Cricetulus griseus: one gene and its partners. The protein of the gene in region 7 purifies or fractionates together with the protein of the main gene of each other region. This does not show direct contact. Links are inferred from orthologs where the notes say so. Each region holds a gene or a part of one and is shown on either strand. Other genes may lie near its edges. The genes, in order: Dock5, Shc1, Pxn, Asap1, Sos1, Nedd9 and Crk.

What was found.
Region 1: the proteins of Crk (region 7) and Dock5 purify together in Homo sapiens (affinity purification with mass spectrometry; 3 studies listed by BioGRID and IntAct, with this or other methods). This does not show direct contact. The link is inferred for Cricetulus griseus from reciprocal best matches to the Homo sapiens genes CRK and DOCK5.
Region 2: the proteins of Crk (region 7) and Shc1 purify together in Homo sapiens (affinity purification with western blotting; 3 studies listed by BioGRID and IntAct, with this or other methods). This does not show direct contact. The link is inferred for Cricetulus griseus from reciprocal best matches to the Homo sapiens genes CRK and SHC1.
Region 3: the proteins of Crk (region 7) and Pxn purify together in Homo sapiens (affinity purification with western blotting; 4 studies listed by BioGRID and IntAct, with this or other methods). This does not show direct contact. The link is inferred for Cricetulus griseus from reciprocal best matches to the Homo sapiens genes CRK and PXN.
Region 4: the proteins of Crk (region 7) and Asap1 purify together in Homo sapiens (affinity purification with mass spectrometry; 3 studies listed by BioGRID and IntAct, with this or other methods). This does not show direct contact. The link is inferred for Cricetulus griseus from reciprocal best matches to the Homo sapiens genes CRK and ASAP1.
Region 5: the proteins of Crk (region 7) and Sos1 purify together in Homo sapiens (affinity purification with mass spectrometry; 6 studies listed by BioGRID and IntAct, with this or other methods). This does not show direct contact. The link is inferred for Cricetulus griseus from reciprocal best matches to the Homo sapiens genes CRK and SOS1.
Region 6: the proteins of Crk (region 7) and Nedd9 purify together in Homo sapiens (affinity purification with western blotting; 3 studies listed by BioGRID). This does not show direct contact. The link is inferred for Cricetulus griseus from reciprocal best matches to the Homo sapiens genes CRK and NEDD9.

The regions. Positions count from the first base shown.
Region 1 is NW_023276807.1:222,938,933-222,943,110, reverse strand, and holds the start of Dock5 (dedicator of cytokinesis protein 5), read left to right. Parts: upstream 1-1,378; 5' UTR 1,379-1,525; coding exon 1,526-1,568; intron 1,569-1,575; exon of another isoform or gene 1,576-4,178. UniProt on the Homo sapiens protein: Guanine nucleotide exchange factor (GEF) for Rho and Rac. GEF proteins activate small GTPases by exchanging bound GDP for free GTP. Along with DOCK1, mediates CRK/CRKL regulation of epithelial and endothelial cell spreading and migration on type IV collagen.
Region 2 is NW_023276806.1:65,125,204-65,129,290, forward strand, and holds the start of Shc1 (SHC-transforming protein 1), read right to left. Parts: upstream 2,801-4,087; 5' UTR 2,392-2,800; coding exon 1,897-2,391; intron 1,350-1,896; coding exon 1,279-1,349; intron 815-1,278; coding exon 751-814; intron 637-750; coding exon 517-636; intron 39-516; coding exon 1-38. UniProt on the Homo sapiens protein: Signaling adapter that couples activated growth factor receptors to signaling pathways. Participates in a signaling cascade initiated by activated KIT and KITLG/SCF.
Region 3 is NC_048597.1:95,638,555-95,642,576, reverse strand, and holds the start of Pxn (paxillin), read right to left. Parts: upstream 2,801-4,022; 5' UTR 2,786-2,800; coding exon 2,746-2,785; intron 2,642-2,745; coding exon 2,415-2,641; intron 2,164-2,414; coding exon 2,054-2,163; intron 1,719-2,053; coding exon 1,582-1,718; intron 1,494-1,581; coding exon 1,292-1,493; intron 313-1,291; coding exon 177-312; intron 1-176. UniProt on the Homo sapiens protein: Cytoskeletal protein involved in actin-membrane attachment at sites of cell adhesion to the extracellular matrix (focal adhesion). Recruits other proteins such as TRIM15 to focal adhesion.
Region 4 is NC_048603.1:24,041,848-24,045,347, reverse strand, and holds part of Asap1 (arf-GAP with SH3 domain, ANK repeat and PH domain-containing protein 1), read right to left. Parts: intron 3,345-3,500; coding exon 2,845-3,344; intron 837-2,844; coding exon 714-836; intron 1-713. UniProt on the Homo sapiens protein: Possesses phosphatidylinositol 4,5-bisphosphate-dependent GTPase-activating protein activity for ARF1 (ADP ribosylation factor 1) and ARF5 and a lesser activity towards ARF6.
Region 5 is NC_048600.1:3,652,780-3,656,279, forward strand, and holds part of Sos1 (son of sevenless homolog 1), read left to right. Parts: intron 1-147; coding exon 148-275; intron 276-1,025; coding exon 1,026-1,681; intron 1,682-3,500.
Region 6 is NC_048596.1:261,016,479-261,020,507, forward strand, and holds the start of Nedd9 (enhancer of filamentation 1), read right to left. Parts: upstream 2,801-4,029; 5' UTR 2,682-2,800; coding exon 2,670-2,681; intron 1-2,669. UniProt on the Homo sapiens protein: Scaffolding protein which plays a central coordinating role for tyrosine-kinase-based signaling related to cell adhesion. As a focal adhesion protein, plays a role in embryonic fibroblast migration.
Region 7 is NC_048600.1:89,155,508-89,159,007, forward strand, and holds part of Crk (adapter molecule crk), read left to right. Parts: intron 1-2,235; coding exon 2,236-2,771; intron 2,772-3,500. UniProt on the Homo sapiens protein: Involved in cell branching and adhesion mediated by BCAR1-CRK-RAPGEF1 signaling and activation of RAP1.

The DNA of each region.
Region 1 (4,178 bases), on a different chromosome or scaffold from region 7:
ATTTTTTAAACACTTAGTATTAAGTACACAATGAAAATTTACTTTTAAATTACAAAGGTAAAGTTGGGCGGTGGTGCACGCCCTTAATCCCAGCACTTCAGAGGCAGAGGCAGGTAGACCTTTGTGAGTTCGAGGCCAGCTTGGTATCCAAAGTGAGTTCCAGGATAGCCAGGTCTATTACACAGAGAACAACAACAACCACAAAAATACAAAGGTAATAAATGACAAATTATGTAATCGTGTTTAACTTTGAGTTACAAAATTAACATTTAAAACGAGAGGTAACCGAAACACTTTAAGAAAGATGCTGTTCTCTCATCCAAGACTTCAAATTCGGGACATCCTTTCTAAAGAGGAAAATCAGGAACAACAACAAAACAGAACAAAAAACTATTCAGGCATAGTTTGCAAAAAGTCACCAGAGCTCACTCATCTCTAATCAAGCATGTCTGTCTTTTACTGCGTGTTTTAATTTCATGTTCTATTCTTGTCAGGTTCCAAACTGGAAAGAAAGCCTCCATAGACTCCAACAAAAACACAATTTCTCGCAATAAGTATTTTCTCAGATGGCGAAGCTAACTGGCTGTTTAGTCTGAAGTTTTATTACTAAGTAAGTAGAGTCTATCTCATTCTGGTCTCTTCTGGGGTAAGCGCATCTCCCCGCAGAGGGCGCCACGCTCCTCTCTGTGCAGTTCAGCTGCCACCTTCTGGAGTCCTTAGTCCAAGTCTGGAGAAAGACCGAGAGGGATGTTCCCGGATCATCCCCACAGGGGTGCCTTCTGGGCAGGGGGCCATTTGGAAAGGGGACCCCTTGGAGCGGACACCTTCCCTCAGTGTGAAACTGTAACTGGCGAGAATTAAGTCCCTGAGTTTGGGATTTCCAGATTAGAACTTTGTCAACAGTTTCCTAACGGAAGGTCCCCTAGATCGGATACTTTTGAAGCGCCTGTGTCCCTTGCACTAGTTCTCTGTGGGCCTTGAAGCCGGGCTTCCGGCTCTCGGGGCTTCTGCAGACGCTCCCGGAGGCGAAGGCGATAGCTCGCCGCTCATTCATTCAGCAAATATTTACTGAGCGTCCGGAGGCGATCCGTGACCCTCACCAGCTCCTCCTCCTCCGCGCGCCGCCGCAACGCAGCCCGGGAGCACTGGGGACCGCGGAGCCGACCCTGGGAGGACCAGGCGGCCAGCTCTAGGCTGTGGCTCGGGGTGGACGAGGCGGAGTCGGCGGGGGAGGCGGGCGGCCGGGGCGCAGAGGGCGCGGCCAGCGGGAGGAGCCGGGGCGGCGCCGGGGAGGGCGCGCGGGGCTTCGCGGCCGCCGGCCCCAGCAGGTGACCGCGGGCGGGAGGGTGGCGCGGGCGTGCGGGGCCCCGGGCGCGAGCGAGGCGGGACGGCTCGGCGTAGACGCGGCCGGCGCGCCAAAGTCGCCCAAGTTTTGCCGGAACATGGCGGAAGAGTCCGACCGGCGCAGCAGCGCTCGGAGCACGAGTAGCTACAGCCGCTAGCGCCGCGGGGCGAGGTCGTCGCCATGGCCCGCTGGATCCCGACCAAGAGGCAGAAGTACGGGGTTGGTGAGTGTCTGCCCCGCCCCACCCCGACCCGAGCGCCACCGAGTCCGCGGGCTTTGGCCCCGCCGAGCTGGCGCACACTCCGCCGCCCGGGTTCCCTGGTGCTGCAGCCCCGGGAGTCCAGCCCTCCCGGGTTGCTAAAAGTGCTTCTAGGCTTGGGGACTCTGGTCCCCTATCCGAACACCAACTCCAGCGTCGCTCACTGTGGGAGCGCGTCGGGTCCCCTTTGCCGTAGGTGGCCAGCAAGGGTCGCACGTGGGATGGTGCGCTCTGCGCCTGCCCTTTCCCAGATCCGACTCTGAAGCCCCAGAGTGCCCCTCCTTCCCTCCCTGGGATTGCAGTCCCCTCCGCAGTCCCAAACAGAATGAGAAGCCGAAGTTGCGAGTGGAGATGATGGAAGAGACACAGAGTGTGTGACGTGGGAAGGAGGGCAGGGGGTCCTGGGGCTATGTGTGAGGACACCCATCCGACCTACTAGAGTGGATAGAGAGGTGTGACACAGCTTCCCTGAGGGGAAAGAAAGAGCTAGGTCCCGCGCTGGCGCGTGGCATTCGCGGTACCCCAGAGCCCCGTGGTTGTTGATCTGTTTGTCCTCTTGGTTTGGATCCGAAACCGTGGCTATGTGGACCCAGGTGGAAAAACTTTCCACTTTCACTTTTGATTGAAGGAAGTCAGGTGGGAAGCACTCACCTTTGGCCGGACAATTGACATGACAATTAGACTTTAAAGGAATAAACAAGTGTGTTGTTTGAGAATTGTATCACTTTCTCTGGGATTCATTCACTTGGCAGGTTTGAAATGCAATCCTTTACTTCACTCCCTTCAGCACGCCTCTTTTTCACCACCTCCCGGGCCCGCAGAAACACTGCCTTAAGTAATTAGTCTGTTGTGACATCTAGACTTCTTTCAGACATAAGTCCTATGTGCCTCCGTAACCGTGACTCAGGTTTCCCCTTTCGTCTTTAGTATATTATTTAAATTTGATGCAGTCTGAAAGCCTGCACATATACCTTTGTGTGTGTGTGTGTGTGTGTGTGTGTGTGTGTGTGTGTGTATATATATATATATATATATATATATATAATATCCAAAACTTTTTATTTTAAATTTGGCTTTTCTTTTAGAATTTTTTGCGCCTCCACATGGCTGCAGGTCACATGGCTGGGTGAGATTTCTTTAGCCCCAGATCATCGGGTCTTGACTTAACCCTCAAACTAATGGTAGGACTGTTGGCCAGATGCCGGCTTGTAAGTAGCTGGTCGTTGTGTAAGTGAAATACTGTAAAATTGATGAAGGGATGGGTGCGTCAATCATATATCATGTCCAAAGCCTTGGGTTCTCTCTTGCATAAAAAAGAGGGAATTCATTTATTTGAGCAATATAGAGTACTAATTAATTAGTAAAAGCATGTTTAGCGGTAACCGCTAATTTTAAAAGGCCTTTTCTAATTTTGCCTAGGATGAAAGTTGTTTCCAACAAGTATGTTTCCGACAGTGTGCTTGCTGTATGGCATGGGAGTAAGAATGTTTCCAATATTTCCCTGTGCTCCAATATTTCTGTGCTCAGGGTTTTGCTTATTTATCAGAGGTCGTTGAAAGTCTTTGGGGCAGATCTCAACAAAGTTGTTCCAGGGTGCAATCTGAGACACATACTTCACTAGACACAGCGGATTCAGGCAGATGTGGATGTTGAGTCCTTGTGCTCTTGTGTTTGGAAGCCATCCTGGCTACAGAAGGGCCCGAAGGAGCCAGTTCTCAGAGTTCCCATAATGGAGTCCTTTCCCTTCACTCCCCTTCTGTGAACTCTGCAGTAGACAATCCACTCATCTCTGTGGTGCAGTGTTCCATGGAGAGTCATCCTGTGGGGCTTTGCTCCCTTCTGCGTGCCCTGACCCCCAACTACAGGACACTGCCAACACTGCATGCCTCTCTAGCCTTTCCCTTGGGGTTCAAATCTGCCCACTGCTTCCTTCAGATCTACTCCTGCTGCTCTTCACCAAGGCTCATACCTACTTTGTTGCAGATTATTGACTGCTGATGTAGGAGGAGAGGGTGGGGGTCATTGGTTTCTCTTGTAGGATCCCACCAGCCCTGTTCTCCCATACCTTCTGACTAGGTGTTTGTTTGTTTGAAGCAGAGTTTCTTTGTCTAGCCCTGGCTGCCATGGAACTTCACTTTGTAGACCAGGCTGGCCTCAAACTGATGTTTTTGAACCTGCCTTCTAAGAGCTGGGATTAAAGGCATACCACCATGCCCAGCATGGTTAGTTGTATTAATTCTGCCCCAATTGTACATACATGGAGGGTGCAAGGGTAACTGAAAGGGGAAGTCCGCCTTCCATGCTGGGGTGAGATTTTCTGGTACCAAGAAGACTTTGATGTCACCTACTCTTCTCATGCTCAGTAAGTAAGCCCAGTGAACTCATTGGTTTCCCCAAGTTGGACTTTGAGGGAATCATACATTGGTTTGTCATTAGTGCCCTATAAAAAGGGGGTATGTGTTTGTTTATGTCTCCCGAGGGGAAGAATTCTTGCAAAAGAAGGTTATGGTTTTTTATTTCTGCCAGTCAGAAAGTTTTGTCAGATAAACAGTAGTCCCCCTTACAGTGTCATTC
Region 2 (4,087 bases), on a different chromosome or scaffold from region 7:
GCGAACGAGATGGACTGCATGTGATGGTTGGCAATGATCTGATGCGGGCAGGGGATGGAGAAGGAAGGGAACAATCAAGGTCAGCAGCCTCAGGGTCCCGTGTACCCTCACCCCAGCTATGACCTTGGCACCCACTCTCATTCTCTCATGTGGGCAGGGGATGGAGAAGGAAGGGAGTGGTCAAGATCCCGCGTGTCCTCACCCCAGCTATGACCTTGGCGCCCAGTCTTTCTCTCGGCTTCTAATCCTACACTCTTCTAATTTTGTTCTATTTGGCGGGGGTGGGGGGAGTGGGGGGGTGTAACAGGGATGCAGGGTCTCACTGTATAGTTGGAACTCAAACACCTGCCTCTGCCTCTGGAGTACTGGGATTAAATTTGTCACTATACCCAAGCCCTCTAATTTCTTCCTTCTCTACTCTCCAGTTGCTCCTGAGGACTCCAGGTTTTTGGCCTCCAGATCCCCCCACCCCATCATCCCATAACTACCCCCGTCCCTTTCAGCAGCCCCACCCACCTGTTTGCAGTCGGCTGCCATGAGGTTAAGGCTGCTGGTAGACACAGTGAGAGTGATTGGCATTCCAGCAAACTTCAGGTTACTCCTCCCCAGGATAGAGCTGAGTGGGCGGCTACAGGGCTAGGAAAGGCCCCAAGTCTCAGAACCTGAGCACTGGCAACACCAGGAGACACTTCTGTCTCCTCCCCTTGTGCCTGCGGTTGCCTTCCCCCTGCCCACCACAACCACACATACCTTTCTCCTCCTTGTGGCTCCTTTGGCACCAGGCACGGCTTCACACACCAAACTGATGGCCTCCCTAGAGAAACAGGGGTACTCAGACCTACTCCTGGCCTCCCACTGCCTGGGGCTGCCACAAAGCTGGGGGAGGGGAAGAGCAGGCCAGATTCTCAGAGCACTCCAGGCTCTTTGTCGTGGTGGATTGAATTAAGGGCCTTTAATATTTGATGACACTGAGGGGCTGCTTCCTGGCTGATTGGGTTAGGGCCTCAATGGTTATAGCCCCACCTCTTCCCAGTTACCAAATTTGCCATTCCCTTCCCAAAAGCAGCCTTTTGTAATCCATCGTCCCACAGTCTCCCAGGCTGCGTGGGTAAGGTGGTGCTCCAGACCAGAGCTGGCTCTTTGCAGTCAGACACACTGGTGTAACTTTCAGGTCTCTTAGCCACCCCATGAGAAGTCACCATCAGCACCACCACCAAATGCCCACCTTTCCTCCTCCTCCATACAAGACTCCAACAATACACCTGCCTCTCCACTAACCTGGTGACCTGAGTCCGGGTATTGAAGTCAAGGGCTCGCATTGACTGCAGGACCTCCACACAACCCATGTACTGTGGGGGAAGGAGGCAAGGATGGATCAGCTGCCCCCTCCCCGCAATACCCCACCCTTTGCAGAAGGTTCTAGGACTGTGCCCTATGTAGTCCCTAAGGGAAGTAAAGGTAAAGTAGCCTTCCTACTTCCTGGGGCCACCACCCCATAGTGAAGAAGGGCCACCAAAGAGGACCTTCATGCACTGTGGAGAGATTGTGAGAGGAGTTGTAGGCACTGGGTGGGATGGAGTGACAGCTATGGAAAAGGGAGGAGTCTAGAGGGAAGAACCCAGAAGTCATTTTTCATTCAACACTTACTAAAAGCCTCTGATGTGCTTGACCATTGTGTAAGCTGGGGGTAGGGATCAAAGGAAAGGGGACCTAGGCAGAAGACTCCCAGGCTAGAACAGAAGGCATAGAACTGGAGAAGGGATGTGGCAGGCAGGGTTAAGAACTAGGGGAATGCCACAGATGTTGGGGGAAGAGCAGGAAGTCCCAGCAAATCTGGAGTGAGCAGAGGAACTGGATGGGGAATGGGAGGGGGCAGAAAGGAGGATGTACACTCACCCGAACCAAGTAGGAAACCCCAGGTCCCATGACTTTGTCGTTGGGATGCAGCCAGCCTCGTGTGGGCTTATTGACAAAGCTCCCGTGTCTGGTCCACTCCTCGCCCCCCAGCTGGCCCCCTTCTACCCGAGTCCTGCGCCCGCCGCCTCCACTCAGCTTGTTCATGTCCTGGAGGAGGGGCAAGAGGCCTGAGTCCCGAAGGGCTGCCCCTGCATTCCCTTCCCCATCTTCAGCAGCCTTTCCTGGCTCTCCCTTAGGCCCCAGGCGCCCCCCAGCAGGATTGGCCAGCTTCAGGTTGCTCATCCGGGGAAAGAAGGAACACAGAGTAGTCGGACTATCATCCCCCGGCAGAGGAGGCAGAATGGGTCCCAGGGATGAGGCTGACGGGGAAGGCAGCTCTTCTGTGGGGGTAGACCCTGAAGCCCCCTCCTCCAGCGATGACAGAGACTCATTTCGAAGTGGGTTGTACTTCGGCTTGGGGGGTAGAAGATCCATGGCTGGGGTGAGAAGGGGGGCTGCTGCCTGGCCCGGCCTGGCCCCCCTGCCAAATTCAGGCAAGGGGGCCAGGCAGGGGGCATCCCCAGGCCCTTAGCCTGGTCTGACCTCTGCAGCCTGGTGATAACAGAGGACCTAGGGAAGCGAAGGACAAGTGGCCTCTGCTCTCCCACGTCAGACCAAGACAGTTTCAGGCCACATCCTTGCCCAGCCCTGCGAGGAAGCCTCTTATGGCTGAGGAGTACAGGCTGGACCCAGAGCTGACTGGCTCCTCCCCAGGGGCGGGGAACCAAGGGGAGAGACCAATCCCAAGGACAATGCTGACTCACAGGCTCAGAGGGGCAGAGACACCTCCTCACACAATGTGTGCTAGCCAGGCCACTCTCCCTTACCCAATACAAACAACTAGGGTCTGTCTGGGGAGGATGAAGGTGCCAGGTAGGAGAGAAAGATGGAAGAATAAGAAAAAGAGGAAAGAAGGAAAGGAAGGAGTTAAGAGGAACTCTGGATTAATCCAAACTGACATGGGCTAGCCAAAGAGAGCAGGAAGCCCGGAAGGTTAGGAGGGATAAAGGAGGAAACAGAAGCTGCTGAGGGAGGAAAGGGGGGGGGGTGATCTAGAGTTTAGTATTTCTCTTACAGCCTAGACCATCCCCACCCCCCACCATACAGTAAGTGAGGTGGCAGCCCCAGGGAACCTGGGCCATTAGCATCCTCAGCCACAACAGCTGTGGACAAGAGCAAGGAACCAGGAAGAGAAAGTTGTCCCAGTGGGTGTAGATCGAGGCCAAGAGGGAAGCAAAGCTGAAACAGGAGGAATAAGGCCAATTTGGGCGGTGGTCTGGGAGCTACTAGGCAAGAGCTAGAGCAAGCCTGTCCCTTAGGCTTGTTACCTACCAAGGACCAATGGACTTCCTGGACCCCTTTCCAGAGGATGTAGAGACAATCAGGCTACCTTTAGACCTACAGACATATTTCTCTCCTTACAGGCTGTAAGGTCCACCCAACAGTGTCCCTCACACTAGTAGAGGAGTTGGCCTTGGAGGTCTGAAAATGAAACAAACAGAACTGGTGCCTACAAGCCACAAAGGGATAATAGGGCCATAAACAAATCAGTGTTAATAAAGACAGGAAGAAGAAAGGGATACCAGAGGTTGGGATCTGGCCATAAGTGCATAATAACACCAAGCCCATATTCCTTTGCCCACAGCTTCCTGCCACAGCTCTGCTAAAGGCCATCAGGAAGTTAAAGAAAGTGACCAATCAGCATTACTCCAGAATAAACTATCACTTATTTCCTTTAAAAAAAGAAAAAGGGGGGGGGGGAGAGGCAAATACAAGAAGTAAAAGGTAGTTTCTTTACAGGCTCACCTCCAAACTACCTTTAGGTTTAGTTTGGAGAATTAAAAACTGTATGATTGTGATTAACAATACCGGAACTTAAAACGGGTTAAATATCATTCTTCCGATTTTTCACCTGCCCTTAGTCCCCATCCCAGGAGAGCTGTTACTGAATATCGAACTTCTTCCTGAAAAGAAACTCTGTCATCCCGTCTACTAAGTAAGACCTCAGCTCTTAGAGGAGGAAAAATTCTGCCACAGCCATACACTTCCAAACACACACAATGATTCTTCATCTTGAGAGATGGCTTTCTCTAGGAGCGTTCATATCCAGAGGCAAGGAATGACCAAGAGT
Region 3 (4,022 bases), on a different chromosome or scaffold from region 7:
GAGGGAGGAATGTTCCAGCTAAAGGCATCTCTGGTTTCTCTGCCTTCACAAGCTGCTAAGGAGCTCAGTCTTGAATATTACCTAGCCTCTCTCCTCCAGGGCCCCGAGGAGCTGCTAGTCATACTGAGGAAGGGTAATGGATGGGAGCAGGGAAGACAGAGAGAATCAGAGGGCACCTTAAAATCCGACAGTGAAGCCATGAGCTCGTCCAGCTCCCTGGTAGCAGAGGAGGCCGAGATGCGTGTCTGCTGCTGGCTGGAGGTGACTCGCTGTGGGCTGCTCATCTCACCTTGGTTCACAGTGATAGCCGGGCTGTGGGGCAGGCATGGAGTCAGTAAGGAGCCCAAGGGTCAGCCCCAGGCTCCACGGGGGGGGCTCCAGATCAACGACACCTCCAACTCCAGGGAAGGCCACCAGAACCCAGCAGCACCTTAGGGATCCCCATCCCTGGGAAAGAGTGACTAGCTAAGAAACAGTGCTGAGGTGAGGTGACCAGAGAAGGTAGGTGGTTCACAGTACCCCTACAGGAAGACAGGGGCACCACTACAAAGCCTCTCAACACTATACACATGCGAGATTATTACACATCAATAAACACTGACACATGGTGGCTCATCCCTGTAACCCAGCACTTGGGAAGCTGAGGCAGGAGGGCTACTACATAGTGAGTTTCAGAAGAGTCTGGGATATAGAGTGAAACCCTACCTCAAAATAAACAAGACCTGACGCTATTAGGGGCTTCCCTAATAGCTGTGATTGCCACAGCTACGAGCCAGCCCCCACCCCCCCCAACATTATATACTATTATATACTATTTGGTCTCACTCTATTTACTATGTAGGGTCATCTCCATTATTACTGTCTGCTTTACCTATTTTATAGTTTATGTCGTATTTTTGCGCTATGGTCTCATGCAGTTCAGACTGTCTTGGAACTCACTTATATAGCCCAGATTGGTCTTGCACCTGAGATCTCCAAACCTCGACCTCCCAAATGCTGGGATTATAACCATGTGTCACCATGCCCTACTTTGGCTTATTCCAACTTATAGAGCGAGAGTAAGACTGTTGTAGCTGGCACAGCCATGATCTAAACCCTGTGCCACATCAGCAAACCTGTGCTAACCCTGGCTTTGCCGGGTCATGCCATATCCCCAGGACCTGGCAAGTAGCAGACACTGTAGGGAGCAGGTGACTTCAGGGCTGATGGACAGGTACCACACAGCCCGAAGACAGTCGGGGTGAGACTTCAAGAGCTTCCCCAGCCTGGGGAGACCCTAATGGATACTCACACAGGGCTAGGCACAGAACTCTCCAGTTCATCCAAGAGGCTCTCCACGCTGGGCCGCACATCCTCCAGGCCCCGGCCTCCATTTCGCTTTGGCTTCTCTTTCATCAGGGGCCCAGTTTTTCCTCCCAGGGTACTGTTACTCTCTGGGACACCATAAAGGGGGCTCAAGGCTCCAGGTAGTGGGGGGCTTGAGTTGGCTTCATCTTGGAGATAAGGAAACAAAATGGTTGCTCATCCCTGAGTCCTCTAGGAACCCAAAGGCCCATGAGTAGTCCAGAGACCCGCTCACACCTGCAGGGAAGCCTGAAGGGTTGTGCTGCACAGCGTTCAGTTCTAGTAACAGACGGTCAAGCTCCGAGAGGTTGTTGCCCAGGGAGGAGCTCATCATGGTAGGTGAAGGCTCTGCGGACTTGTGTTTGTTGGGGAAGCTTTGAGAAGGAGAGGAAACAAGTAAGACTCTTCTGCCCTGCACTGGATGTGGCAGGCCCCAGATTCTCAAGGCCGGAGGGGTGGAATGTTACCAAGTCTCTTCAGCAAGAAGGCGGAGGGTAGGGAAGGAATGTGGTAAGGCAAGGAGGAAGGAAATTTTGCTTCAGTTTCTCAACTACAGAGATGCTGTCTCTACAGAGAAGGCAGTGACAGGGCAGAGGGGAGCCAGCTGACAAGCACAGGGCCTGGCAGGGGCCTTCAGGCCTTCTATAGTTCCACCAGTGGCCCTAGGGTTTCCCAGAAGCCGGGCTGATGTACAGTGCTGGTTCTGTACCTGTAGACGTGTTCTTCCTCGCCTGCTCGGGAACAGAGAGCGCTGTCCTGAGGGTTAGAGGCACCGGAAGTCTTAGCACTGGAGCTGTACACAGGTGACGGGGATGGAGGCTGCAGAAGAAAGAGTACTTTACTCAGGCCACCCCCAGGCAGCTCCTGCTCATAGCTTGTCTCACCAGGGAATTTCCACAGCTAGTCAGGTGATTAATACTTGGTCACTGGCCCCTCACATGGTGGGTGAGAAGGGCAGTGTATGACTAGGAGCCCAGAATCCCAGTCCATCCCCAATGGCTTTCCATCTCCTCGGCAGATCAGCTCCTTTTACCACTCAGCCCCCAAGGGCTCCGCAGACCCCACCTTACCTGCTGGTGAGTGTATCGGGAACCACTAGGCTGCCACTGGTCTAAGGGGTCAAGGATCGTGCCATTGAGGGCCTCGCTGGATGGGGGTGGTGGAACAGGGGGTGGCACTGCAGTCTCCTGATAGGTATGGTTTCCAGTTGGGTAGGAGTAAGGGGGCTCCTCTGACAAGAACACTGGCCGTTTGGAGATGTGGGAGGTGGTTGATTCCAAGTCTGCCAGCAGGGCGTCTGCAAAGAGAAGACGTCCACTGGTGAGAGTTGGCCCTATTGGGCACTTCCCAGGGGCAGTGTCCTGCCTTCCTGAACTTGAAGAGATCCTGTCTGGCAGACACCTGCTGCTTCGATGGGAGAAGAGACCTGGAGTTTCCACATCGGCTGCCCGTCCTCTCCTCCCTCAGGGGTTAGATGCCTGGCTCTGCATTCCTCCTGACAAGGCTAGGCTGCTGCTGCCTGGTGTAAGCAAGAAATGCCTGCTTAGAACTCTGATTCCTGAGGGCAACTGGGAGAGCTGGGTGGGAGGAGTCCTACGTCATGTCACAGCACAGGGAGGGGCTGGGTAGATAGAGCCAGGTCCTCTCTGGACTTCTAAGAGCCTCAGCCCAAGTCTAAAGACAGGGGGTGGCCTTAGGGAGCACCTGTGCTCCAGGTAGGAGCGGAATTCCATGCTCTAAGCTCCTCCTGAGGCCCCAGGCTGTGGGTAAGGTATGCAGAGAGGTAGGGGGCTGGCATGAAGCCAGCTCGGCAGCAGCCACCCCCTCAACAAGCTGGGAGTAAGACTGCTCTGCCAAAGCCTGGCAAGCAGCCCAGCCCTAGAAACTCCAGGGCCCCATGACTCCGCTTTTAATGGGGGGTGGGTCAGATCTCCAACACAAGCTGCCATTACCCTGGCATGCAGTAGCCGACAAGAGGCTCAGGTTCTCGACAGGAAGGGACAGCTAGAGGGACAGGAGTTGGAGGTACTGACCTTCCTGCCATAGCCTCCCATCTTGGGACCTTCCACAGTGCCACGGCCTGGGTACAGTCCAGCCCCGCTCACCACACCCTCCCTCCTTCCTGCACTGCTCACTGACCTGCTCACTCTCAGCATCTAGTGACCTGCTTCCTGGGCCCTCGTGAGTGGCAATCGAGGGGCAGTGGCTGCACTGCACTGATCACCATCTACTAGGAACCACTAAAGGCATCTACACGCGTGGTCACAAACAAGTGCCCCTTCTGGTGACCTAAAAGGCCAAACTGTTGTCTTTGGAGCTGAGGAAAGTAGGCTTGGAGGCTAGCAGTACCTGCCCTGAGTGATAAAGCAGGAAAGGGCAGGATCACAAGACTCCTCAGACTCCTTAAGTCCCAGACACCAAGCCTGCAGGAGGGACTGCTGTGATTTCAAAGAGACAAGATACCAAATCTAAGGAACTCAACTTCCTACACACCAGGGGCTCGAGCTCTGATCCTTGCTGGCGGCCCTGTCTGTAGCTCCATTCCCATGCAGAGAAAAGGGAAGCAAGGGCCTTTGAGGTCATGCCCTCTCCTAGCAGCCCTGACTACCTGTCACTAGGGTGGGTGCACCTACCCCTGGCTCCTGCTGTATGGCTGGACGAGAAGTTGTTCGAAGGCC
Region 4 (3,500 bases), on a different chromosome or scaffold from region 7:
CTACCTCTCTCAGCAACCTTCACAGAGTGCGCTCTCAGAAGGTTCCATGGGTTACACACCAGCATTAGAATTTTAACCTCTTTACTGGGATGCGTGTTTGGTTGGGGGCTCATAGAATTTCCCTGGGCACGATACTGAAACATCATAAAAAATGTTCCTTTATTCCCAGGAGTCTCAGTTGGAGTCACTGGTTACTTAGCAGTGACTGTATCACCTCACTGCAACATTAACAGACAAGAGTGACATCTGGACACTCTCCCCAAGTAGGACTCTGTCTCCCCCCCCACCCACGCCCTGCCCTCCAGAGGAAGCAGGTTTACAGATGGGATGAGCTTGATTCAAGTCTACTGGGCTGGAAAGTGACACCAATGGGGGACTTCCGACTCTGTCATTGTCCTAAGGTGGTGTTCCAGCAAGTGCACACTGAGAGCAGGCAGGGCTCTGGCTATGAAGACACCAGGAAGCATCTCTAAGCACCCCCCCCCCCGCCGCCCCACTGGTCCTGACCAAGAAAAGCAGCCAGGGTGGCTTGGCCCATTTTCAAAGTGACTTTGTCTTGTTACAGCACCCACTTAGCGACAGAAGGGGGAACGTACGTGAATGGCCATGAGGTGAATTACGTTACCTAATAGGACCCTCACACCCGCCCGTGGAGCGGAGAGAGCAGAGGGATCAATGGTCAAACGGACAGACGGACAGACTTGGGTACGTACCCACCACTCCTGGTCCTCTTCCCCCGTCACGATGATCACCTCTCCTTCGACGAACGTGAGCTCATCGTCATTGTCCGCCTGGCAGTCATAAATGGTCTTCACACGCCTCACTTTATTCTTCCCCTAGAATAAAGCAAGCAGGTTCCGTTAGAGAAAACACGAAGAAGGGAGAAACAGAACAACACCTCACAGGGTGGGCCAACCCCGGCAGGTGTTTTCTCTCTTTGCCTGGACTTCCCCACGTGTGTGTGTGTGTGTGTGTGTGTGTGTGTGTGTGTGTGTGTGTGTGTGTAGAAGACAGTCTCAGGAATGGCAGCCCCTCCTCTGGCTAGCATCAACTTTCGGCAGAGAGCATCCAGAGCGGGTAGCGACCACAGCTCAGCTTTCCCAAGATGCATGAAAGGACCTGTCCTTCCTTGCTGTCCCCACAGCATCAGCTTGCACAGAAATGACGGCAGAAGCTATGGAAATGAGCAGGATGTGCCTTTTTTTCTGCACGGTGAATGGACAGCACAGATGGGTTTCCTGGGGCCTCCTGCAAAACAGGCCAGGGCTCGCCAGGGAAACCCAGGGAACAGACAGGGTCTAAACAGTTGTGATCCCCACCAGGACTTCTACTGGCTGGACTTCAGTTCTCTGAAGACAGGGGGTGTAAACAGAGGCATTACCTTCTACAGAATATTTTGAGCACCCAGTTAATTAGATTATTAGCAATAGAAATGGCAAGTTACCTCTTTTTTTTAGTTCAAGCACAGCATTTGTGTGTGTGTGTGCGTGTATGCGTGTGTGTAGGTGTTGGATTCCCTCAAACTGGAGTTACAGGCAGTTATGAGCTGCCATGTGGGTGCTGGGAACTGAACCCGTGTCCTCTGGCAGAACAGCCAGTGCTCCCAACCGCCAAGTAGTGGCTTCAGCCCGGCAAGTTATCGCTTTAAGTGCTCTGGGCCAAGTGTCTGTTTCCCCGGCCCTGGCTTCTTTCTGGCTGTCCTGATGCTCTTGGGGGGAGGGGCTGGGATAGTGTGAGTGCTGGTGAGGCTGGAAGGCTGACCAGAACCATAGCAGCCGATTGTCCTCTCAACAGTGCCGAGAGACTGAGAAGGCCTGTAATGTGTTAGTTTGTGACGGCGGCGAGGACTGAACGGGACGCTGTCTCTAAGGCAGCATGAACTGGAGTTCTGCTCATTATCAGACACCAGAGGATCGTCAGCAGCGCCAGGGAAGGCTGCAAGAATGGCAAGCTGACGATGGTGAGCTCAAGTGTGTGTGGGGGAATGGGGGAGGGAGGGGGGACGGGGGACGGGGGACCGGTCATTTTCACGTTCCCCGTGATGGGCAGCACTGGTATAATAAAATGACCCAGCGGAGATGCTGCGTGAACTGGAAAGAGCTTTGGTCCTCCACCATTATCTGTGGAGCTTGTGTCCTGTGGGACACCTTTTTGGAGTGTCACACTTACACAAAGACTGTGGGGGCCTTGGGAAAACAAAAAAACCCAACATTTTTATATAAAAATAAAGTTGATAATTTATAGAGTGGGACACAGTGCATGAAAAGTTTGGAGTGACTGGACCACTGCCAAACCCCATCTGTGGGGGGTTGGGGGAGGGGCTTTCTCTCTGGTTCTGGTGGGAAGATATAGCGGGGAAGGGACAGAGACTGATCCTAGGGGTGGGTGGAGTTCAACCCTCATGGCTTCTGAGTCAGAGACACCATGGCTGAGTGCTCGTTATGTGGTCACTATGTTCTGCTCGCTGGCCACTGCTGCCCCTGACACCATACAAGCCCCTCTTGTACCCGAGGAACCAGGTTCAGAGAATGACTGCTAGCCAGGCAGCTGCGTTGGGCATTGAAGCCGGGTCCTACGGCATGCCGGCAGGGATCCAAAGGCAGTGTTTGCAGCCACCGGGCTCCAAACCACCACAGACGCTTCGATGGGGGGGAGAGAGCATATGGGACACTGTTCTTACTGAGGTGGAGCATACATCCTCCCGCCACCTTCTGGAACTGCCAGAGTCTGAGGATGAGGCTTAGTGGCAGAGTGGAGAGCAGACACGCATCTCTAGGTCCTGTTCCCAGCACCATGAAAGGAAAAGTGCGATGGCCTTGCCAAAAGAGCCCGATTCCCACCCACCGTGTTGATTTTCCTCGGCAGTGGTACGGGCGTCTCCGGCAGCGTGGGAGTGAGGTCATTGGAGTCCTCAGATGCTTGCTTCTGGATGGCATCTCTGGCCTGCACATTGAGGGAGAGATCCCCAGCGTGTGACTTCTGTGTGACCTCTGAGGGTGGCTGCACCTTGGATGAGACTTCACTGGCCTGGGACTTTGCCAGCAGGTCTCCCAGCTGTGGCTTGGGGGGCAGGTCCTTCACCTGTGGTTTGGGAGGTAAGTCTGAAAGCTGGGGCTTAGGAGGAAGGTCACCTAGCTGGGGCTTGGGGGGCAGTTCTCCAGGCTTAGGCGGCAAGTCTCCTATTTGGGGCTTAGGGGCCAGTTCCGTGGGCTTTGGGGGCAGGTCTCCGGGCGGCGGCTTTTGGGGTAACTCTGCCAACTGTGATGATCTCTGAAAAACTTCAGGTGGGTTGTTGGCTTTGTCGAGGGAGAGATGATGGCTGGTTTCTGTCTTCCTTAGTGCCACTGTGGGAAAGGATAAGAGGCGGTCACGGCGAAGACGAAATAAAGGTGGAAGGCATCACAGTCATGGGAAAAAGGCCAAACACCAGCAAGAGCACCGACCTGGCCGGGCAGTAGTGGCACATGCCTTTAATCACAGCACTTGGGAGGCAGAGGCTG
Region 5 (3,500 bases), about 86 Mb from region 7:
ATATGCAGGCAAAACACTCATACACACAAAATCAAAAAAGTTGCATTTATAGAGTCCTTAAAATTACTGAAGTTGAAAAGGTTGAGTGAATGTTAATTTTATCCTTAAATAAAGTGAGGTTATTGTTTTGCCCTTTTGACTAAACAGCAGTTAGAAGAAAAGAGCGAAGATCAAGAAGACAAGGAATGTGTGAAACAAGCAATAACAGCTCTGCTTAATGTCCAAAGTGGCATGGAAAAAATATGCTCCAAAAGTCTTGCGAAGCGAAGACTGAGGTGACTGTTCTTATTCTAAAGTCTCTTTGTTTCTACCCTGAAGCTGTGGTATAAATTCAGGGGCCTTAGCTCCCTCCTTAAGTAAACAATGAAGAAAAAGATGTTAGTGACAAGCTTGGTCTTTCAGAGGAAGTGACATCAAAGCCAGGAGAATTTGTTATTGTTTGAAAAACCTTTCATATTTGTGCATTTTCCCTGCATACTCCCAGACAAGACCTCCTGAGGAGCAGCGGGTGAGCTGAAGGAGACAGAGCAAAATGTACCGGGTAGATTTACACCAGCGACATTGTTATGTCAAAGTCAAATTAGAAGTGTTCTTTAGTTTAGTGATTATATAACTTGAGACATTAATTCAGAAAGCAGACCTTCCACTTTCCTAATTATAATGTGCTGTCTGCTTTTATCGTTGGGTCTTGTTCCTTTAAAAATACTTAGAATTTACTTTCATCTCTTAGGACTTTTTTTTTAACTGTATTGGGCTACTTTTTGATCTGTCTTTCTAAATATTTAGTACTCAGGCAGAAATAATCATTTTGTACGTGAATCTATATAGTTGAATATCACTGTTCTTTTTATAACTCTGAAAATATTTCTGTGCTATTTTAATTTCTAGAGTTGTATAATTACATATATTTAGGGAATTAGTAAGCACATGTCAGTGATGTTTAAAGTTCTAGTTTGCCCTGCCACCTTATCTGCATGAACTGTAAATTCTGTCTCTGTACTAATAGTGTCTCTTCCTTTACCCAGTGAGTCTGCATGTCGATTTTATAGCCAGCAAATGAAGGGGAAACAACTAGCAATCAAGAAAATGAACGAGATTCAGAAGAATATTGATGGTTGGGAGGGGAAAGACATTGGACAGTGTTGCAATGAGTTCATAATGGAAGGAACTCTTACACGTGTAGGAGCCAAGCATGAGAGACACATATTTCTCTTCGATGGCTTAATGATTTGCTGTAAATCAAATCATGGGCAGCCGAGACTTCCTGGTGCTAGCAATGCAGAATATCGTCTTAAAGAAAAGTTTTTTATGCGAAAGGTACAAATTAATGATAAAGATGACACCAGTGAATACAAGCATGCTTTTGAAATAATTCTGAAAGATGGAAATAGTGTTATATTTTCTGCCAAGTCAGCTGAAGAGAAAAACAACTGGATGGCAGCACTGATATCTTTGCAGTACCGGAGTACCCTGGAGCGAATGCTCGATGTAACGATGCTTCAGGAAGAGAAGGAGGAGCAGATGAGGCTGCCTAGTGCTGATGTGTACAGGTTTGCAGAGCCAGACTCTGAGGAGAATATTCTGTTTGAAGAGAACGTGCAGCCCAAGGCTGGGATTCCAATTATCAAAGCAGGGACTGTGATTAAGCTGATCGAGAGGCTTACATACCATATGTACGCAGGTAAGAAACATGAAATAGCTTTTATTGTCTTTCTCTGCTCAAGCTGACTGGTTTATTATGCCTCAATAGAAAACTCACAAAAGGCCAAGACTTCCGATAGAGAAGCTTTGACTAAACCATCACCCTATTTCTTTGAAGTCTTTACTACTTCTACCATATTTGCATCCATCATTTTAAGCCTAGAATCATAGTTAGAAAGAAAAAAGTTACCTGGTAAAAAGCAGTAGGAACAGGATGAATTATCAATGTTAGTGTATCAAAGTTTCTGCCCCTGTGTACTGCTTTTCTTATTCTATAACTGAGTTACAAACTATGTGGAATTTTAAATATTCACCCATCATCAAAATTGTGCTAGTTGCAAAAAATATATACAGTATTGCCTTTTCTTAGTCTCCATTCCTATATATATTAAGGAAATCTGGAAACCAATTTTAGTATTTTGTTCTTAGTGTTATTTATGCAGTTTTATCTTAGCAGGTTTTAAAGACAGACCAGTCTGAACAACCTAGAAAGATGCTAGGCAAGATTACATAGAGTGGCTGAGAGGTAAGGGGCATATGTGAGTCGTTTTATATGATCTGGCACAGTGGGGCGTCTGATCACTGTCACATCTTAGCACTGTGGTGGAGTAGACAGCACTGAACTCACACTCTGTCTCTTCATGTCTCAGAACCACAGATTCTCATCTCAAAAATTAACATCCAAATAGCTACCTTAGTGTAAAAAAAGCATAAATGAAATACTGAATGTGAAAGCTATTTAAATATAAATGTAAATTTTCTTTAAAAGACATGTGTGATTTAAAATCAGTATAATTCATAATATGGTATTTTTAAATACCTGAATGTGAAAATTAACCTCTATTCCCATATTTCTCACTTAAATATATTCCTATTTTTAGGAAATGTATGCTTCTGAGAAAAATATTTTCCCTTTTTTTTTTTTAAGTTCTATAAGTGGGTCCGCTGTTTCCTTTGGAAGGTGTCCTGGTGCTAGTAAGATTAGCCTTTTAAAATATTAATTTGTTTATTCACTTAAGGAAAACTGAATAGCATTTAACAAGGCTTTTCTATTCAATTTATCCAATATACAAGCAGAACTCAATATGGCTGAGAACTACCAAAGAGTGAGAAATTAAATTTGAGTAGTATTTTTATGAGTGTTCTCAAACCACTTTATAAAATAATATATGCCATTATCCACATATCTCTGGGATAGATAAGCTAGAGTTTAGTTTTGCTTTCAGTTATTTGGACTCTTAACAGGTAAATCTTTGAGGCCTTTTCCATAGTAAATGGATAGCATTTACCAAAGGTGAGTTTTGCCATGCTTTGGCTTCTCTGAACGTGTATTATCCAGTGGTAGGTGCTGAATGTTAAGAGAAGCCTCACCTGGGGTTCCAGTTTTACTATAAATTGTCTCCTAGACACTTCTATACGCAGTGTTTGTTACTCAGAAATTTAAAAAAAATATTAAAAAAAATTTAAGTTGCTCTGTAGTTATATAAAAGATAAATAGGTTACCTCTCTTTCTACATATATAAAGCTGTTTTAAGAGTTACAGTTTTCAGTAATTATTACGACCTATCTATTTACTTGATCTTCATCAACCTTCTGTATACTGTTTAAAATTATAGCCAGGCAGTGGTGGTGCACCCCTTTAGTCCTAGTGCTCAGGAGGCAGAGGCAGGTGGATCCCAGTGAGTTCCAGGCCAGCCTGGTCTACAGAGCGAGTTCCAGGACATCCAGGGCTACACAGAGAAACCCTGTCTCAAGAAAAGTAAAAAGCAAAGGAAACAATCAACAACAACCAAATTATA
Region 6 (4,029 bases), on a different chromosome or scaffold from region 7:
AACATTAAATACCCCTGACAGTCTTCCCATGAACAAATAAAAATATAAGTAAAATGAAAACACACTAGCTGTGTACTAAGTAGAAAGATTTACCTAGAGCAATAGCTTGCATTCCATAGCCCTCATAATTGTAAATAATTGCTAGCCGCCTGGAGCTGTGTATTTTAAGGACAAAATGAAGAGAAGTTGGCTGCTCCCTAGTTATGAACTCTGAAGTAGCTAAACAAGATCATCCAGTTAACAACAGTGGGTGGGGGGGGAGGGAAAAAAAAGAAAAACAGAAACCTTCTGAGAGAAAAAAGAAACCTTTTGAGCCTGACATAAATCTGACAATGATCCATTTTTAAGACCATGCTAAATTTATAGTTTATGGTGCAACATAGTGTTTAAGACGTAATTCCAGACTCCTGGGTTTTACAATCTAATAATTATCTGGTTTTACTACTTAAGTAGCTCAAATTAAACAAATAAATGCCAACTTTGTATTTCATTTTGTAGAGTTACCATGGAGAGGGGGGCAAAAGAAGACTGTCTTGAGGGAACATTTGGGATGAAATAGTTCTGAACTTTCCTGGGACCAGAACTCTTAAGGAGTTACAGATGATTTCTGTTTTAGTTTTTTCTCTTGGTAGTGGCTAAATCATGAGTATTAAATCCCGTGCTCATCAGGTGGTGGTACTGGGAAAATCACTTGGCCTCTGTGGGTCCCAATTACTACATCTGAGAATGAGTGTGCCTTCGAGGGATGGGAGAGTTCAATATGACAGTCTTGTAACTCGCTACTCATCATGCCTCTACTTCAGCATCTTCTACGGAACATGACTAATTCCCTCCAGGAAGAAAGTTATCTTACATTAACTAATAGACTTTGTGACAGAAAGAAAGTGGCTCACTTCTGTTATGGTCAACACAGGGTGCCTTTGTATCATTTGTTTTCTTGGGGAGCTCAGCATTTTTGCTGGTGAGGTTTCCTATGATAATAGTAATAATAGTAAAAACACAACCGCCACACATTTCTGTTGCTTGGCAATGCATTCGTCTCTGGGTAGACCTTTCCACTTGGAAGGCTTTCCCCAGTGGCAGCTTCTCACCTGCAGTGTACATCACCAGTCCCCATGACATTTCTTTCCACAAAGAGCAAAGCTAAACGTGATGAGGTCACTAAATCAAAGAGACTTTACGTCACTCTCTAGACTGTGGCACTCCAAGCTCACATCAGTCATTAATGTCCCAGTAACAGACGGAGGAAACCCTTTCCCTTTCCTGTACAATACAGTCCTGATTCAACAACGGGGAGAAAAAAAAAAAAAAAAAAAAAAACCATCCCAGGGTAAGTACCATGTAGTACTTGTTCCATTCTGTGAACAAGGAGACTTAGCGACGGGGGAGAAACACTTCCAAAAGACTCTGTTCCTGCCAGGTAGGAAGCTGCATCTCCCTCTGAATACTGGAGCCATCCTTTCTTCTGCTCCTCCCCACCGATGCTCAGAACGAAAGCTGATAGTGGGGTGATAATGGATACCTGGGTCTTCACACTGCTGGAACTTTCCCAAGAGCTATCTCCCATGCTTTGCCACAAAGACTGGGTATTCTGGTTCAGGGCTTCTAAACAAGATTTACAGACACCGAACAAAAGATGGATTTTAGCCTGTGGCTGTTAGGTACAGCAAGTGTTTACATCCACCTATCCAAAAGGAAGGGCCAGAGGCTACATACCTCAGAGGGAAGCAAAGTTAGCCCCTACTAAATCAGTTATCAGAACCTGTTAAGCCGCTTGACCAAAATGATTTTTTTTTTTTGTAATAGCACTGTCCTTTGAAAGTCGAGGACTCTTGTCTATTCAACGGGCGGGGGGGGGGGGGGTAGGGGGTGGGTGGGGTGGCATGGCTCAGTCAATGCAATCTGCTACTGGGCCAAGTCCCTTGGAAACTGCCTCCTCAGACGGGATGTGCTGAGCAAGTCATAATCATTTTGCCAAGAGTAACCCCAGAAACCGTGGTGCAAAATGCAATGGAAAATAATGCTGCCAAAATATGAGCACGACATTCTGTAAGCGTCAGGGAAAATAAGCCAGCCGGAGCCTTCATACTTTCAGACCCGTTCAAACCCCAATAAAGTGTTACCCAGAAATGACTAACACTCGTTTATTCATAAAACCGAACTATTTAAGGATGCTGGAATTCTCCATCATCCGCCCTATGATAGTGTCTGGGTTCTTAGTTTGCTTCTACCGAAAGTGCCTAGAGCAGATAGCTTCGCAGATCGAGTATTTAAGGCAAACTCGGAAAAAGTGCTTTTTCAGCCCGTTAGAGACTCAGTAGTTCTGATTCCTCTTATTAAGGCTCCCCAGGTCGGCTCTGGTCAGGCAGTGACCTGCGACTTGCCTGCTGCGACTCTAACCTCCAGTGGCTGCGGCCGCCCCTACACTAACTTTTCTCCACTGCCTTCCGCTACTCCGGGGCAACCTTCAGAGCTACGTGTTGCAAGCTAGCAGATCTGAAAGCACAAGTCGGCTTGCGGGTAAACCCCAGGGCACCCTGGAAACCAGATCAGACGCAGCTCAGCGAGACCAGACACACCAGGGATCCCTGCACAGTTGTCACGGTGGGAATCCCGCAGGCACAGCTGCCCCCAGCTTCTCAGGAGACTCGTGCAAAAGGCACTCTTACCTTATACTTCATCGCGGCAGTGATCGGACGAGCCCTGGTCCTATCCTAGTCACACAGTGTAGCCCTGCAGTGTCTGCCGCTCCATTGAGCACACCGCAGGACGGAGAGCAGAACCTTCGCCTCCCGCGCACTGCGGAGCCTCTGAGCTCAGCGCTTAGGCTGAGACCCGCAGATCACGGCCCTCATTTGCATACCTCGCCGCCATTGGCTGGTGGGGGGAAGGTAATGCCTCCACTCCGCCCACCTCTAACTTCTGAAACACTCCCGACAAAGAGCGTGTAATATGATCATTTCTTTTCACGTTATCAAAAGGCGGAGGAGAAAACAGAGAGTGGGGAGGCCGCCCAAACCACCCCGCCAAAGGAATAAAAAAATTTAAAGAGGAAAGAAATAGGAACCAGACAAAGGACATACATTCCTTTTGAAATTAACCCAAATTTTTTGAAGAATCCGAATTCACAAAGTCGTCTGACGATCTCTCTTCCTGTGACCCAGCAACTAGTTCATAAACCCATTTCAAAGCCATTCACCTCTCAATCTCTACATGAAACGAGCTGGGGAAACAAAAGGTTTTCTGTCTCCAGACCCCCCCCTTTTTTTTTACTAACCACCCCTGCTGATACTCTCTCTCTCTGTGTTCCTTTCTCTTTCCCTTCCCCTTTCTGTGGCTGTTTGCTTTCTTTTTCACCCCCTTTCAGTGTTCAAAGCACTTTGCAAAGTCAGCCTGCTAGGAGCTGGAATGCATTTCTCCCTCAGTGAAAAGGAACTCACAAGCACCAGGTTTGCCTAGAACATCTCACTAGGACCTCAGAGAGGAGTATCAGACACATTAAGAGACCTTGGCGGTCTTTGATGAGGATAAAGGCTAGATGGGAACGCATGGAGGTCCTGTAGAACAGTCCCTATATATCATTCCTGTCCACCCAGCACTATGTTCTTTGCTGGCTTTGAACACTGAGGCTTTTTCCTTCTGACCTCTCTCCCCAAAATGACCCATTAACCCACTCACACTTATTACCCCGGGAGAAGAACCCCACTGTTTGATAAGCCTGGTTAAAAAAGAACAGCTTCTCTCTGGTAAAGCACAGACCATGATTTGTGTAGCAGTTCCTTTTGGAGATTTCTATAGAGAAAGAGAATCTCGAAGGAGAAGACAGAAGTTCCTTTTCCTTGGGCCTCAGGACTTGGAGCATTCAATGACTATCCCCTAGTTGGGATGCATTCCAGCCAGACTGTTCGACTCGGGTGGAAAAAGCAGCTTACTTTTTTCCTGACTAAGCTGGACCAGAATCAATTGTGCCTCCTGCCTCTCTCTCTAAATTCCCATCGGATTAAAACTTTTGAAAAAAAAAAAAAGATT
Region 7 (3,500 bases):
TCTCTTAGATCCTTGATTGAGTACAGATTGATGGAGGGTTGTATCCCATGCTATGCCCTACCTTCCTATTTAGCTGAGGTTGACATTGAACATCAGATCTTTCAACCTATATTTTCCAGAGTGTTAGGACTCTGGATATGTACCACTGCACCCAGTGTATGTGGTACTGGATATCGAACTCATGGCTTCATGCACTCTCCCAACAAAGCCATCTCCTTAGTCCCAGTTTTCATGTTTTTGAAATAGGATCTCATGTATTAGACTGCCCTTAAGCTCATGCATCTAGAATGACTTTCGAACTCCTGATTTTCCTGCCTCCAAAGAATAGATTTGGGGGTGGGGTTATGAGACAGGGTTTTTCTGTGTAGATCTAGCTGTCCTGGAGCTCACTCTGTAGACCAGGATGACATTGCACTCATAGAGATCCATTTGCCTCTGCCTCCCAAGTGCTGGAATTAAATAAAGGCATGTGCCACCACTGTCTGGCCAAAGAATCAATTTTAACCAATGGGGGGGAGAGAAAGAGAGACAGAGAGTAGCTAGAGAGATGGCTCAGGGGTTAAGAGCACTTAGCAAAGTACTAGGATTTGGTTCCCAGCACTACATGATGGCTCACAATCACCTCTAATTCTAGTTCGAGGGTATCTAATATCTCTTCTGACCTGTGAACACACATAGTACGTACACATAAATACTATATATATATATTAGTCTTGGGCTGGAGATTGAGAGCACATACTGCTCTTAAAGAGGACCCTAGTTGAGTTTCCAGCATTCACACCCAGCAGTTGACAACTACCTGTAACTACAGCTGCAGGGTATCCAAATCCCTCCCCTGAACTCTATAGTCACCTGCATGCGCATGCACATACCTCCACACAGACACACAAGCATATAATTACTTAAATCTTTGAGCCTCCTGAGATGACTCTGAATAGGAGCATTTACTGCTCTTGCAGAGGACCTGGGTTCAGTTCTTTACGCCCACATGGCATCACATAAAGCCATCTGTAATTCAAGTCCCATGGAATATGATGCCATCTTCGGAATTGTACATTGTAATGATGGTAATGTATAGCTTAGAGTAGCTTACAAGTTTCTCTCATTTCTTGTTGGAGCAGTTGCACGGACCTCTTAAAACAGGAGGGCTTGAGGCCAGGCCACATGCCTTTAATCCCAGCACTTGAGAGACAGAGACAGGTGGATCTCTGATCTTTGTGAGCCTGGTCTACAGAGTGGGTTCCAGGACAGCCAGAGCTGTTTCACAGAGAAACCCTGTCTCAAGTCCTCGCAACCCCCCCAAAAGGAGAGCTTGCTGTGCTTACTGAGGCTGTAGTGTACATTTGCTTACTTTATTTATGGAGTAGCAGAAGAACTTTGTGAGAGAATGATCAGAAAGTGTGTGTGCTATGCTGTCTTTGCAAACCAAGTGGCCTGGTCTCCCCTCCCCATGGTGATGGCATCTTTCTTTCCAGAGGGTGCTCATTTTATTTATTTTATAAATGTATAGGTGTTTGTCTGCGTGGATGATGCATCATTTGGGTGCCAAGTGCCCAAGGAGTCGAGAAAATGGGCATTAGATCCTTGGGACTGGGGTTAAAGTTATGAGTCACCATGTTGGTGCTAAGATTGCCAGGTCCTCTGGAAGAGGATACTCAGTTTTAAAGTGTGATACAGCCCATTTGGGCTGTGAAGAAAAGGGTTTGGTTTTGGTTTTTCTTTTTTTCTGGTTTTTTTCATTAGTTCAAATTAGAAACAAGCTTTGCTTCACATGTCAATCCCTTCTCCCTCTCCCTCCAACCTCCCACCTGCCCCCCACCCCATCCACCCTCCACTCCCCAGGCAGGGTAGGGCCCTTGAGGGTGGCTCCCCAAAGTCCACCACATGATCCTGGGCCGGGCCTAGGCCCTCCCCCATGTGTCCAGGCCAAGAGTGTATCCCTTCACGTGGGATGGGCTCTTAAAGTCCCTTCTTACACTAGGGAAAAATACTAATCTACTACCAGGGGCCCCCTAGAGTGCGGAGGCCTCCTAATTGACATCCATGTTCAGGGGTCTGGATCAGTCCTGTGCTGGCCTCCCAGACAGCAGTCTGGGGTCCATGTGGTTTTTCATTTTTTTTAGGATCCTTTCTTTGCTGACCAAATATTAACCACATATGTATGAAAAATACATAAATCTGTTTCATCGGCAGTATAGTATACCTTCAAATGACACTCTGCTCTGTCTTTTCCAGGAGTGAGTCCCTCCCGGCTCCGAATAGGAGATCAAGAATTTGATTCATTGCCTGCTTTACTGGAATTCTACAAAATACACTATTTGGACACTACAACATTGATAGAACCAGTTTCCAGATCCAGGCAGGGTAGTGGAGTGATTCTCAGGCAGGAGGAGGCAGAGTATGTGCGAGCCCTTTTTGACTTTAATGGGAATGATGAAGAAGATCTTCCCTTTAAGAAAGGAGACATCCTGAGAATCCGGGATAAGCCTGAAGAGCAGTGGTGGAATGCAGAGGACAGCGAAGGAAAGAGGGGGATGATTCCAGTCCCTTACGTGGAGAAGTATAGACCTGCCTCCGCCTCAGTATCGGCTCTGATTGGAGGTAACCAGGAGGGTTCCCACCCACAGCCACTGGGTGGGCCGGAGCCTGGGCCCTATGCCCAACCCAGCGTCAACACTCCGCTCCCTAACCTCCAGAATGGGCCCATTTATGCCAGGGTTATCCAGAAGCGAGTCCCTAATGCCTACGACAAGACAGCCTTGGCTTTGGAGGTACATAATGTGCAAAATGTAGAAAGACGAGATCTGCTACAGGGTCTCCCTTTCAGACCTCTTACAGCTTTGTAGGAATGCTGATGCAGCACCAGCTTTGTGATGTTGTAGATGTCAAACCATTAAATACTGATCTTGGCATTTTATGTGGGTTTTCTCTCTTTTAGAGAAAACCTGTTTTGCAATGAGTAAACTTAAAACTGTGTAATTGAATGTTCTAATTGATCTACTAAAACTATTTTGACTAATAACCACCTGAATTCATAGTAATTAACATGAAGTAACTTTTCTCATCTATATCCTAACTTCTTTGTTGCTTTCTGTTTGTCATTGTCTAAAACAAGATGGGTTCACACAGATTAGAATGTAGTAAGTGGTATGTAGCAATATACTTGAGTGGAATTTTTCCTTTTTTTTTTTTTTTTCTGTTTTGGAGACTGGATGTCTATGTAGCTCTGGCTGGAATTCACTTTGTAGATTGGCTGGTGTGAAACACACAGAGAACTACCTGCTTCTGTTTCCTGAGTGGTAGGATTGAAGGTGTGTGCCACCACACCCAGCCAAAAACTCCTTTTATTTTAGTGGCTAGCCTGGAAAGGCTGAATGATAGCCTTGGCCAGGCCCTGGGTTTTGTCCCTAGCGTCACACACACACACACACACACACACACACACACACACACACACACACAGAGAGAGAGAGAGAGAGAGAGAGAGAGAGAGAGAGAGA